Macaca mulatta: one gene and its partner. The protein of the gene in region 1 binds, or shares a complex with, the protein of each later gene. Links are inferred from orthologs where the notes say so. Each region holds a gene or a part of one and is shown in the gene's direction. Other genes may lie near its edges.

Region 1 (5,547 bases):
GTTTTAATACCTTTCTCTTCTCATCCATAGGTTTCATGAATTGTGAAATCCCGTGAGATCTGCCGTCAAAATGACTTTCAAATTTTTTCTTTCTTTGCTTTCTCACTGATAGCATCTTCTTTTACACCATTATGCCCTCCTTCTGGCTTAGCGTAACTCAGGGGTTCTTAAATGGGGGGTAAGGAATCTGGTGACACCAGGGATGCTGCTAAACATCCTACCGTTATTCGGCTGCCCCCAACAATACAAAATTACCTGGTCCCAAGTGTCATTAGTGCAGAAGTTGAGATACACTGGCTTAACCGAATTCTTCCTTCCACTTCTTAAAATTTGCTGCCACAGTGGTCTTGCCAGTGACAGCTTTAATAATTTATCACAGTATGCAAAACTGAATCTATACTTAAGCCAGCATTCAAACGCCAAACCTTACAGCTGCTAATACTCACGTGTTCTCTTCTCCAGTCAGACTGAACTATTTGTGTTTGCTCTCACTTGCTGTGTGACTTCGAAAAATTGATTTACCTTTTCCAAGCCTAGTTCTCCATCTGTAAAAACGGTAGAAATGACAGACCATAATTGCATGCAAAGTCATTGTAAAGATTGTATAAGATCTTGTGTTATATTTGATATGTTTTATGTATCTTATTAAAATAGTTTTGTTCATCATACTTCATAAATGTGTGTATATATTATATATAATATGTAATATATATTACATATATAATTTTACATATAATATTACATATATATTACTTTTTTTTATATATATACATATATATATATATATATTTTTTTTTTTTTTTTTTTTTTTTTTTTGAGATGGAGTTTCACTCTTAATTCCCAGGCTGGAGTGCAATGGTGCAATCTCGGCTTACCGCAACCCGTGCCTCCCGGGTTCAAGCAATTCTCCTGCCTCAGCCTCCCGAGTAGCTGGGACTACAGGCATGCACCACCACACCCGGCTAATTTTTTTTTTTTTTTTTTTTTTTTTTTTTTTTTTTTTTTTTAGTAGAGACGGGGTTTCTCCATGTTCATGTTCATCAGGCTGGTCTTGAACTCCCGACCTCAAGTGATCCACCTGTCTCAGCCTCCCAAAGGGCTGGGATTATAGGCATGAGCCACTGCACATGGCCCATAAATATATTTTCACTTGTAAATGTATCTACTCCCTCCTTCAGTCATGCTCCTTGTTTTATATTTACATTCTCCCATGATAATCCTATACATTAAAATTGACTAAGTTCCCCACTTCATGGCCCATATACTAAACTTTTTTTTTCCATTTTTTTATATTTTAAAATTTGAATGAAATTTCATGTTTTCTGGCCTATAAATGGAAGAGGTTAAAAACTGGTTTGACTGATGGCTTAGTATTCTCGTATTCCACTAAAATAGAATTTTCTTTTAATTCATATTGTTTGAAGTTTCAAATGTGCATTTATTATACTAAAGTATACTTAAATGTTGAAGACTACCCTGAACATTTATGCTTGATGCTTTAATATTAAATGAACACTATTTATCTCAAATATAAAATACTTGTTGAATTGGATATGATTTGATTACTGTTTGCTGTCTTTACAACTTAGTTTTGGAAATAACCAAATGTAGGCAAGTCTTTGTTTTTCTCTTATGACTATAAAATCCAATCATTGAAAATTAGGTTAGCGAGACCAGATGTGGTAGCTCATGCCTGTGTAATCCCAGCAGCACTTTAGGAGGCTGAGGGGGAGCATATTTTTTGAGGCCAGGAATTCAAGACCAGGTTGGCAACATAGTGAGACTCCATCTCTTTAAAAAAAAGAAAAAGAAAGAAAGAAACTTCGGTCAATGAAACAACATAGTATTGAACAATAAGAATGTTTTCATAATTCACATTAGTATATGTAGATTAATATAGTTTTTTTTTTTTTTTTTTTTTTTTTTTTTTTTTTTTTTTTTTTTTTTGAGACGGAGTCTTGCTCTGTCGCCCAGGCTGGGGTGCAGTGGCCGGATCTCAGCTCACTGCAAGCTCCACCTCCCGGGTTTACGCCATTCTCCTGCCTCAGCCTCCCGAGTAGCTGGGACTACAGGCGCCCGCCACCTCGCCCGGCTAGTTTTTTGTATTTTTTAGTAGAGATGGGGTTTCACCGTGTTAGCCAGGATGGTCTCGATCTCCTGACCTCGTGATCCACCCGTCTCGGCCTCCCAAAGTGCTGGGATTACAGGCTTGAGCCACCGCGCCCGGCCAGATTAATATAGTTTAAATATATTTCATTTTTATTGTCTTTCCTCTTCCCAAGTTACTTTGCGTTGTAGAATGTCTAATTTAGGTAACCCTTTATGCCCCCTCTCTTTTTTTTTTTAACCTGAGACAGGGTTTCACTCTACTGCCCAAGCTGGAATGCAGTGGCGCATTCATGGCTCACTGCAGACTCAACTTCGCAGGCTCCAGTGATTCTCCGACCTCAGCCTCCTAAAGTGCTGGGGTTACAGGCATGAGCTACCTCGCCCTACTCCCTCACTCTGTACAGCAATACAGTATTTTTACTATTTTAAATTTCATTATTCCCATTGTATAAATTTTAGCAAATTATCTTAACTGTACCTATTTATGTACTTGTTTATGCTTAAATTTTTTTAATTGGTTATATAATCTTTACCCTTTTCCTTTTTCAGATTTATGGACAAGAAGTTATCATGTAAGTTTGTTGTTGTTTTGGAGTTTTTTTAAATCATTCAGTTGCTTTTTACGTGTGTCTTAGCAATATGTTTGGAGCAACTTTATAAAAATTTAAAGCACACAGGACCTCTAATTCACATCCATTAATTAAACAGATTACTTAATCCTAACTTGACAATTTTATTTACCTAATTTCTGATATTGAATTAATTTAACAGCACTTCAGACTTTTATCTTATATAAGCCTTTCCTCACTCTGGCAAAATTAACAGGATTTATCAACCTTTTTTCTTTAAACAAGCTACAAAGGACTTAGACAAGAAACAATTATTTTGTTTCTTGGGAATATGTAGGAATAACAGATTTGTTCAATTTATCTAAAAATCTGACCCACGCAGTACTTGAAATATATGTAGGGGAAAAAAACCGTGAGTGTTAGAAGCAAGCAGCCTTCAGCTTGAGTCTCACTTCTACCATACAGTAGCTGTATAACCATGAACCCAGTTACTTAAAAGCTTGGGCACGGTGGCTTACACCTGTAATCCCAGCACTTTGGGAAGCCAAAGCAGAAGGATCCCTTGAGCTCAGGAGTTGGAGACCAGCCTGGGCAACATAGGGAGCCCCCATCTTTATAAAAATTTTAAAAAGCTCTAAAGTTTAGTTCTGTCCGATAAAGTAAGGATAATACTACTTTTTAGGATTCTTATAAATTAAAATGTGGAAGTAAATACAAAAATGTTTAACCCAGTTCTTGGCATACAGTAAGGATAGTGGGTCAAACATCTCAAATACTTGTGTTTTATCCCACCTGATTTCTAGTGAATGCTTGATAGCTAATGGACAGTTTATCTAAAACGTCTTTTTCCCTTTTTAATAGTGAAATTAAATGGTGGCAGACATGTCCAAGGAATATTGCGGGGATTTGATCCCTTTATGAACCTTGTGATAGATGAATGTGTGGAGATGGCAACTAGTGGGCAACAGAACAATATTGGAATGGTGGTAAGTAAAGATACAAGATTTCTCTTGGATATTTCATTTTTCTTTTGGAATGTGTATTAACTTTCCTAGTTAGTAACCCCCAGAAATGGCAAATAATAGGCAAGATTAGACTTTCCATTTCCTTTTTAGTTGAACATATGGCAGTTACTCAGATGTGGTAATATCCTGGTTACCTGTAGGTAATATCTCAACTATACAGAACCTAAGGTCCTAGGGCTTGAAACAGCTGTTGGAAATCCTTTTTGAGCTTTATTCTACAATAGAGGCTCATAGTCGGTCCTTCATTAGAGCAGGAGTTCTGAAACCTTAACGTGTATATGAATCCCCAGGGAATCTTGTTAAAATGAAGATTCTACTTCAGTAGGTGTGGGGCGGAACTTATTAAGGTTTTGCAATTTTCCTAATGCCTAATGCAGATCTGCCAGTTCACAGATAACACTTTCTGGTTTTACTTGTATACATAGTTAACCTGGGTTTTCTGGTTTACCATACCAAAATTTTAAGGTAGCCAAGGTAAACGTTACAAGGGATAATCACAGTGACAGTTATTCACATGAGAGAAAAAGCAGGAAAAAATTAAAAAGCACATACTGAGCCCTCATAGGATTAAACATTCCTACATTCATTGGGCTGTAGTTTTAGTGATTACTGAAGAAGAGTTTTGATACCCCCACTTTGAGTCCTTCTTTGTCTAACACAGGACAACATACCTAATAAAGTGGTAGACCCAAAGTTATTGAAAAAGGTGAGCCAAAAAGGACAACTTACTTTTAGCAAATTATTAAGCATAAAGACCTCCAAGGAGTGTTAAGAGTTGCTAATTATTAGCCTTGATTTATTAACTTTGATTTTTAAGTTTGAGCAGTACAGTTGAAGATAGACCTATTTTGACATCTCTGCCTGTTTAATTTTTTTACATACCATTCTTTCTAAGGTTTGTGTTATTACTTATTTCAGATACTTTTTTCAGATACTTATTTCGGAGACTTATTTCAGTTACTTTTTCACTACTATATTTTGAAAAGCAAATCGATAGTCATGACTGAAAAAACAGTTTAGAGTCTCCAGATACCACACTGTACCCCCAAGTTCCTTGTAAATTGACTTGTCTTTCAGGTATATTCCCTTATGAGCTTCTGTTGAATAAGGCTGCCAGCATCATTAGTAGACAAGTCCTTATAAAAACACTTTCTAGATACCCCAAGATTTTCCTCTAAGCCCTTATTTTTACAAATAAATTTTCATTCTAATAGAAGCTGGATTCGGTTTTTAGTTCCTTGCAACAAATTTGCTGAAAAGGATTCAGGAAGGAATCCTAATTGTCAATTCTGCTTTGAGAAAATTAGAGAATTATATAACACACTGCTCATTGGAATTTTATCAGAGAAGGAATAGAGCATCCCTCTGTCAATTTTCCCCCAAAACTTTATGGACTTAATTTTCTTTGCACAGAAATTAGTTGAAAGCACTGCCATCCCAAGTCATTTAAGTAATGATTACCTACTTAGTGTGTTGGGCAGCCTCCTGTTCCATCTCTGAGGTTTAGGTGACACACACACCCCCAACCCCCAGCCGAAGAAAAAAAAAGTTTTCATCAACAGACAATGATTCTTGCTGCTGAGTCTTCACTTTGAAAAAGAAATAATAATACATCAGTCTTCTTTAATAAAAAGACATTTTAAAAGGCAAGAACAGAGATGAACTTTTTGACTTTTCTAAAGTTGGAGGAAGGGAAACAAATAGGTTAAGATTTTGTTCATTTTGTTAGAAGTTGTTTGACAAAGGACAGTTGGTTTCAATATTACCTTGTCCAAGTCAGTGATCCATTGAGGCCACTGAAATTACTTAATACTGTTTTATTGCAGTTATGTGTGTATTGGCTG
Region 2 (6,268 bases), on another chromosome or scaffold:
GTGTTACCTTCTTCAGGACTCCTAATGCATACTGTAAATATTGCTATAATCATACATAACCCTACTATAATATTATTCACCTCTTTAAATATTTGCTTTGCCTAAACCCTATGAGTCCTTTAAGGGCAAGGATTGTGACTTGCTGTCTCTGTATCCCCAGGCAGTCGTTAGCATCCTACAGACTTTGACACATAGCAGGGGCTCATTAATGCTTTATTTAAAAATTATTAATTATAATTATCTAATTATTATAATAATTAGATAATGAAATATAGAAACTACAGATATAGTATATTCGTATTTTTTTTCTTCTTTTTTTTTTTTTTTTTTTTGGAGACAAGGTCTCACTCTGTTGCCCAGCCTGGAATGTAATGGCACAATCTCAGTTCACTGCAACCTCCGCCTCCCAGGCTCAAGTGATCCTCTGCCTCAGCCTCCCCAGTAGTTGGGATTACAGGCACATGCCATCACACCCAGCTAATTTTTGTATTTGTTGTAGAGATGGGGTTTCACCACATTGCCCAGGCTGGTCCTATACTCCTGAGCTCAAGCAATCCACTCGCCTCAGCCTCCCAAAGTGCCGGGATTACAGCACAGGCATGAGCCACCACGCCTGGCCCACCCCAGCCCCTTTCCAACTAAAATTTAATCTTTCTGATTTCCTATCCGTTTTTTTATTTTGAGACAGAGTCTCGCTCTGTTGCCCAGGCTGGAGTGCTGGAGTGCAGTGGTGCGATCTCAGCTCATCACAACCTTCACCTCCCAGCTTCAAGCAATTCTTCTGCCTCAGCCTCCTGAGTAGCTGGGATTTCAGGCGAGCACCACCACGCCCGGCTAATTTTTGTATTTTTAGTTGAGACAGTGTTTTGCCACGTTAGCCAGACTGGTCTCGTACTCATAACCTTAGGTGATCCACTTGCCTCAGCCTCCCAAAATGCTAGGATTACAGGGGTGAGCCACCATGCCTGGCCCTGATTCTTTGTTAATACCTTTACAAATTCACCACGTTCTGTCATTTGTAATCATTATTTGTGTACCTGTTTATTTCTCATTAGGCCATAAATTACATGAGGACAGCAACCATATAGTTTAAGTTTCTGTCTCCCAGAAAAGTTATCACAGTGCTTTAAATGTTGGCTAAAGCATAAAAATGTTGGCTAAATTCAACATTTGCTTGAGTGAGATGGAACAAGAAAACAGGGGTGGGGGTAGGGGGAGTAACCTCATCAACTTCAATGCTATACATTTTTACATCTATCCAATTTCCCCCATGCATGACCTGAAATACTTGGTGTAGAGTACCTGTTTTGTGCCAGGGAAGCCGCCTTACTAGAAAGAAGGCAGAGCACTGAGGAGGAACCAAGAGCAAGGAGAGGTAGGCACTTTAGGAACTGAGAACTAAAAATAAGCTCTCCATTATTTGCTGTAAACGTTTAATCACTCTCAATGTAAAATTTTCTGTGTGGTTTACAGAGTCAGACAGACCTGTTTGAATCCCATATCTGACAATCATTATTTGACCTTAGTCAAAATGGTTAACCAATCCAAGTCTCAGTTTCTTCATCTGCCAAAAGGGAACAATAAATGTATACTTGATACGGACGTGAGGGTGAAATGAGCTAACGTATGTGAAGCCCCTAGCACAGTGTCTGGCATGATAAAATAGGAGCTGTTCCTCTCCATTGGAATAGTAGAGCAGAACTTGTCCCAACCACGCAGTGCAACACTGTGATGGGAAAACAAAGATAAAAGCAGAACAGAGTTCAACACATTAGGAACATTTCAGGGGAGGTTACCTAGAAGGTCCACTACATTCTTCTCAGGACTAAATCCCTCCTGACTCTTGTCTGCACCCCAATCCTGGAAAACTCACCGTCACCCCATATTTGAGTGCTAGTCCAGCCAGGGTGTCTCCGGGCTCCAAATGATGCTCCAGGCGTCTTTCCCTCACTGGGGAGCAGGCCGATTGCACCAGGCTTCCATATGAACGAGCCCGGCTCCCGTGAAGCAGTCCTGACCCCCCTGGCGGGGGCTGTCTAGACGGGGAAGCCATCTCTTCACCCTGCCGACAGCTAGGTTGCAACTAGGGGAGGCCCGACCGAGACTGCGAATGACAGGCCTGAAGTCTGGGAATAGATATTCAGGGGATTCCTTTCCCCTTCTCTCTTCCCCTGTGTCCCCGCCTCCCCAGCACTACGCCACCTGCCCCCTCCCGGTTTCTCCTCCCTCCAAGTCCTTATCCACAAATCTGTCCCTTGAGTATTCAGTCCCTCCCTGATTCGCCCCTAAGCACCCCTCCGACTTTGAACTCCCCCACAACTCCTCGCTACATTGACCTCTGACCTTTGAACTCTAGAAATAATCCTCAACACTCTTTCCTCAGTTTGCCCCCAAGTAGTCTGGCCTCAGGGCGCTCCCACATCCCAGCTCTGCCCGGTCCCGGGGTTTGTTTGCTAGAGCCAGGAACAAATCAGGCCCACCCCAGGTGAACTGTCGCCGCAGACGAAGAGCGTGAGGATTGCGAGAATTTGTAGTACACCTTCCACTCAGAGATCCTCAAAGGTCCGCTCCGCATCAGATAGGTCACACCCTCAAATTTCGGCTCCACATCTAGGTTCTTGTCCCTCTAAACGCCTCAGATCCACCAAGATGCAAGGGCCTGGATCCAGCTGAGCGGCAAGGTCTTTGAGGAAAAGACTTCATTTCCCAAAAGGCGTCGCGTCTGCGGAGTCGCACGGCACCATAGGAAATGCAGTTCCCTCCACGCGCCAGAGAGTGGATATCCGGATGGCGCAATGCATGCGTGGAAGTGCATTCCCGGAAGTACGGGGGCCGACAGGAAGACAAAGAGAAAAGAGAAGGCGCTGTCCCGCTCTTGCTACGGTGGCCTAGAGGAGTGGCGAAACCGGAACAAGAAAATTTATCACTTCTGGGACTCACAGTCGTGATGTCTTTCAAGAGGGAAGGAGACGATTGGAGTCAACTCAATGTGCTCAAAGTAAGCGTGAGCGGAGAGGATCTGCAGCCTCTTCAGTCGCTCTCTGAAGGTTGGGAAGGAGCTTTGTTTCATTGCTCTGGCAACAACTCGGGGGTGCAGGAGAGAACCAGGCGACTTAGAGCTGTGTAGTGACTCCTTTTTCGGTCTATGATCGCTGTTCTCCCCAGGGTCCTTATGTCCTTATTCCGTTTGACTCCTCATTTCTATCATTTAACTTCCATCCCTCTCTCCTATCCTGCTGATCCGTCCGGATTTCTTCCCCTACTCCCTGCAGAAAAGAAGAGTCGGGGACCTCCTCGCCAGTTACATCCCAGAGGATGAGGCGCTGATGCTTCGGGATGGACGGTAAGAGCGAGGAGTGGCTCAAGCCTGAGGGTTTTGCGGTTAGAGGCTCAATAGCTGTGTTGCCCAGGCTGTCCTTGAACTCTAGGGCTCAAGTGATCCTGCCTTCTCAGCGTCGCGATTAGCTGGGATTACAGGCGCACGCCACCACGCCCGGCTTCAACAAACTTTTGTTATTAATTAGGACAGCAGAAGTATCTAGGATTCTTTGGCGGCTAGTGAGGACTGGAAGAAGTGGAGATTGGGTCACCAGGGAGTTGGGTTTTGCAAAGACTGCTAGGACAGGGTGGGACTTACGGCAGGGACAGGCCCAACCCTCTTCCCCTGGACCAGTTATCCTCTTCTCTACCCCTGCTCAGCTTTGCTTGTGCCATCTGCCCCCATCGACCGGTACTGGACACCCTGGCCATGCTGACTGCCCACCGTGCAGGCAAGAAACATCTGTCCAGTAAGTTCGGGGGAAGACAGGGGATGGGGAATAAATCGAAATCTCTGCACACCAGCCTTGGTGCTATGCTTTTAATTCTGTTTCCCTTTCTCTTCAGGCTTGCAGCTTTTCTATGGCAAGAAGCAGCCGGGAAAGGAAAGGAAGCAGAATCCAAGACATCAGAATGAATTGAGGAGGGAAGAAACCAAAGCTGAGGTAATCAGAGAGTGGAGAGTGTGTTCTAGGCAAGACCCTGCTGCACACACCAGGCTGGAAGGGCAGAGGGCTGAAGGCTCTGACTCTGTCTCCCATCTTCTTACCAGGCTCCTCTGCTAACCCAGACACGACTTATCACCCAGAGTGCTCTGCACAGAGCTCCCCACTATAACAGTTGCTGCCGCCGGAAGTACAGGTATGGGAGGGGAAAGCCAGAGGTAGGAAGGCTCGGAAGGAGATAGAGGGCTCTGAAAGTGTTTTCCAGTCTGTATTCTGAGGAATACTAGCGTTCTGGAGATGTTACTTAGTGTTTCAAGAAAAGGAGAATTTTGGCCGGGCACGGTGGCTCACACCGGTAATCCCAGCACTTTTGGAGGCTTAGGCGGTGGATCACTTGAGATCAGGAGTTCAAGACCAGCCTGGCCAACATGGTGAAACCCCGTCTCTACCAAAAATATAAAAAATTAGCTGGGTGTGTGGTGTGTGCCTGTAATCCCAGCCACTCAAGAGGCCGAGGTGGAAGAATTGCTTGAATCCGGGAGGCAGAGGTTGCTGTGAGCCAGGATCATACCACTTCACTCCAGCCTAGGTGACAGAGTGAGACTCCATCTCAAAAGAAAAAGAAAAGGAGAATTTTGTGATTTTTAAATAAAGTTTGGGAAATGGCACTTTGTAATTCTACTTGAAGAGTAACAGTTTTAGGCCGGGCGCAGTGGCTCAAGCCTGTAATCCCAGCACTTTGGGAGGCCGAGACGGGTGGATCGCGAGGTCAGAAGATCGAGACCATCCTGGCTAACACGGTGAAACCCCGTCTCTACTAAAAAATACAAAAAACTAGCCGGGTGAGGTGGCGGGCGCCTGTATCCCAGCTACTCGGGAGGCTGAGGCAGGAGAATGGCGTAAACCCGGGAGGCGGAGCTTGCAGTGAGCTGAGATCTGGCCACTGCACCCCAGCCTGGGTGACAGAGCAAGACTCCATCTCAGAAAAAAAAAAAAAAAAAAAAGAGTAACAGTTTTAAAAGCTATACAAAGTCTTAAGAATTAAAAAAAAAACTTGTAAAATTTAAAGCTAGCCTTTCCCAAATTCATGATTCTAAAATCCTTTGTATGCAGAACTTACTAATATCTTGAAAAATATAGTTTAAGAAACACTGTTTTAAGAGGTTGGGAGTCATAGGAGAGTTGGCCCTTTCCCTTACTGCTTTTACAGACTATTCTTCTCTACCTAGACCAGAAGCCCCTGGTCCCTCTGTCTCCCTTTCTCCTGTGCCACCCTCAGAGGTCGAACTCCAAAGCGGGAAGATCAGTAGGGAACCTGAACCTGGGGCTGGCCCACAGGCCGAGGAGTCAGCAACTGTCTCAGCCCCTGCACCCATGAGCCCCACAAGAAGACGAGCCCTGGACCATTATCTCACCCTTCGAAGGTGAGTGTGCCTAATCAGTTTCCTCAGATTTTCTTTTCTCTCTGACCCTTCTTGTTTCAAAGCTTTTTTTTTTTTTTTTTTTTTTTTTTTTGAGACGGAGTCTCGCTCTGTCACCAGGCTGGAGTGCAGTGGTGTGATCTCATCTCAGCTCACTGCAACCTCCGCCTCCCAGGTTCAAGCGATTCCCCTGCCTCAACCTCTCGAGTAGCTGGGATTACAAGCATGTGCCACCATGCCTGGCTTATTTTTTGTATTTTAGTAGAGGCGGGGTTTCACTACGTTGGTGAGGATGGTCTCAATCTCCTGACCTTGTGATCCACCCACCTCGGCCTCCCAAAGTGCTGGGATTACAGGCGTGAGCCACCGTGCCCGCCCCCCATTTTTTTTTTTTTTTTTTTTTTTTGAGACAGAGTTTTGTGTGTTCCCCAGGCTGGAGTGCAATGACACAATCTTGGCTCACCACAACCTCCGCCTCCGGGGTTCAAGCGATTCTCTTGCCTCAGCCTCCCAAGTAGCTGGGATTATAGGCATGCCCAGCTAATTTTATATTTTTAGTAGAGACGGGGTTTCTCCGTGTTGATCAGGCTGATCTTGAACTCCCGACCTCAGGTGATCCACCTGCCTTGGCCTCCCAAAGTGCTAGGATTACAGGCGTGAGCCACCATACCCGGCCTCCTATTGTTGTTTTTTATCTTTGGTTTCGTTTTGTTTTATCCACCCAATTTACATGGCTCTCAATTTTTTCTCACCACTAACTTTTTTTTTTTGGTAGAGACAGGGTTTCACCATGTTGGTCATGCTGGTCTTGAACTCCTGACCTCAAGTGATCCACCCACCTTGGCCTCCCAAAGTGCTGGGATT

What was found. Proteins that work in one complex are often made in the same cells at the same time.
Region 2: SNRPG (region 1) and SCNM1 share a complex: the UniProt entries of both Homo sapiens proteins name them as parts of the minor spliceosome. The link is inferred for Macaca mulatta from reciprocal best matches to the Homo sapiens genes SNRPG and SCNM1.

What each region holds. Positions count from the first base shown.
Region 1 is NC_133418.1:54,438,955-54,444,501, forward strand, and holds part of SNRPG (small nuclear ribonucleoprotein G), read left to right. Parts: intron 1-30; exon of another isoform or gene 31-131; coding exon of another isoform or gene 132-178; intron 179-2,658; coding exon 2,659-2,681; intron 2,682-3,539; coding exon 3,540-3,664; intron 3,665-5,547. UniProt on the Homo sapiens protein: Plays a role in pre-mRNA splicing as a core component of the spliceosomal U1, U2, U4 and U5 small nuclear ribonucleoproteins (snRNPs), the building blocks of the spliceosome.
Region 2 is NC_133406.1:115,922,037-115,928,304, reverse strand, and holds the start of SCNM1 (sodium channel modifier 1), read left to right. Parts: upstream 1-2,833; 5' UTR 2,834-2,947; coding exon 2,948-2,998; exon of another isoform or gene 2,999-3,047; intron 3,048-3,272; coding exon 3,273-3,343; intron 3,344-3,699; coding exon 3,700-3,788; intron 3,789-3,885; coding exon 3,886-3,983; intron 3,984-4,090; coding exon 4,091-4,179; intron 4,180-5,212; coding exon 5,213-5,407; intron 5,408-6,268. Other genes in the region: LYSMD1 (lysM and putative peptidoglycan-binding domain-containing protein 1), read right to left, coding at 1,874-2,053. UniProt on the Homo sapiens protein: As a component of the minor spliceosome, involved in the splicing of U12-type introns in pre-mRNAs. Plays a role in the regulation of primary cilia length and Hedgehog signaling.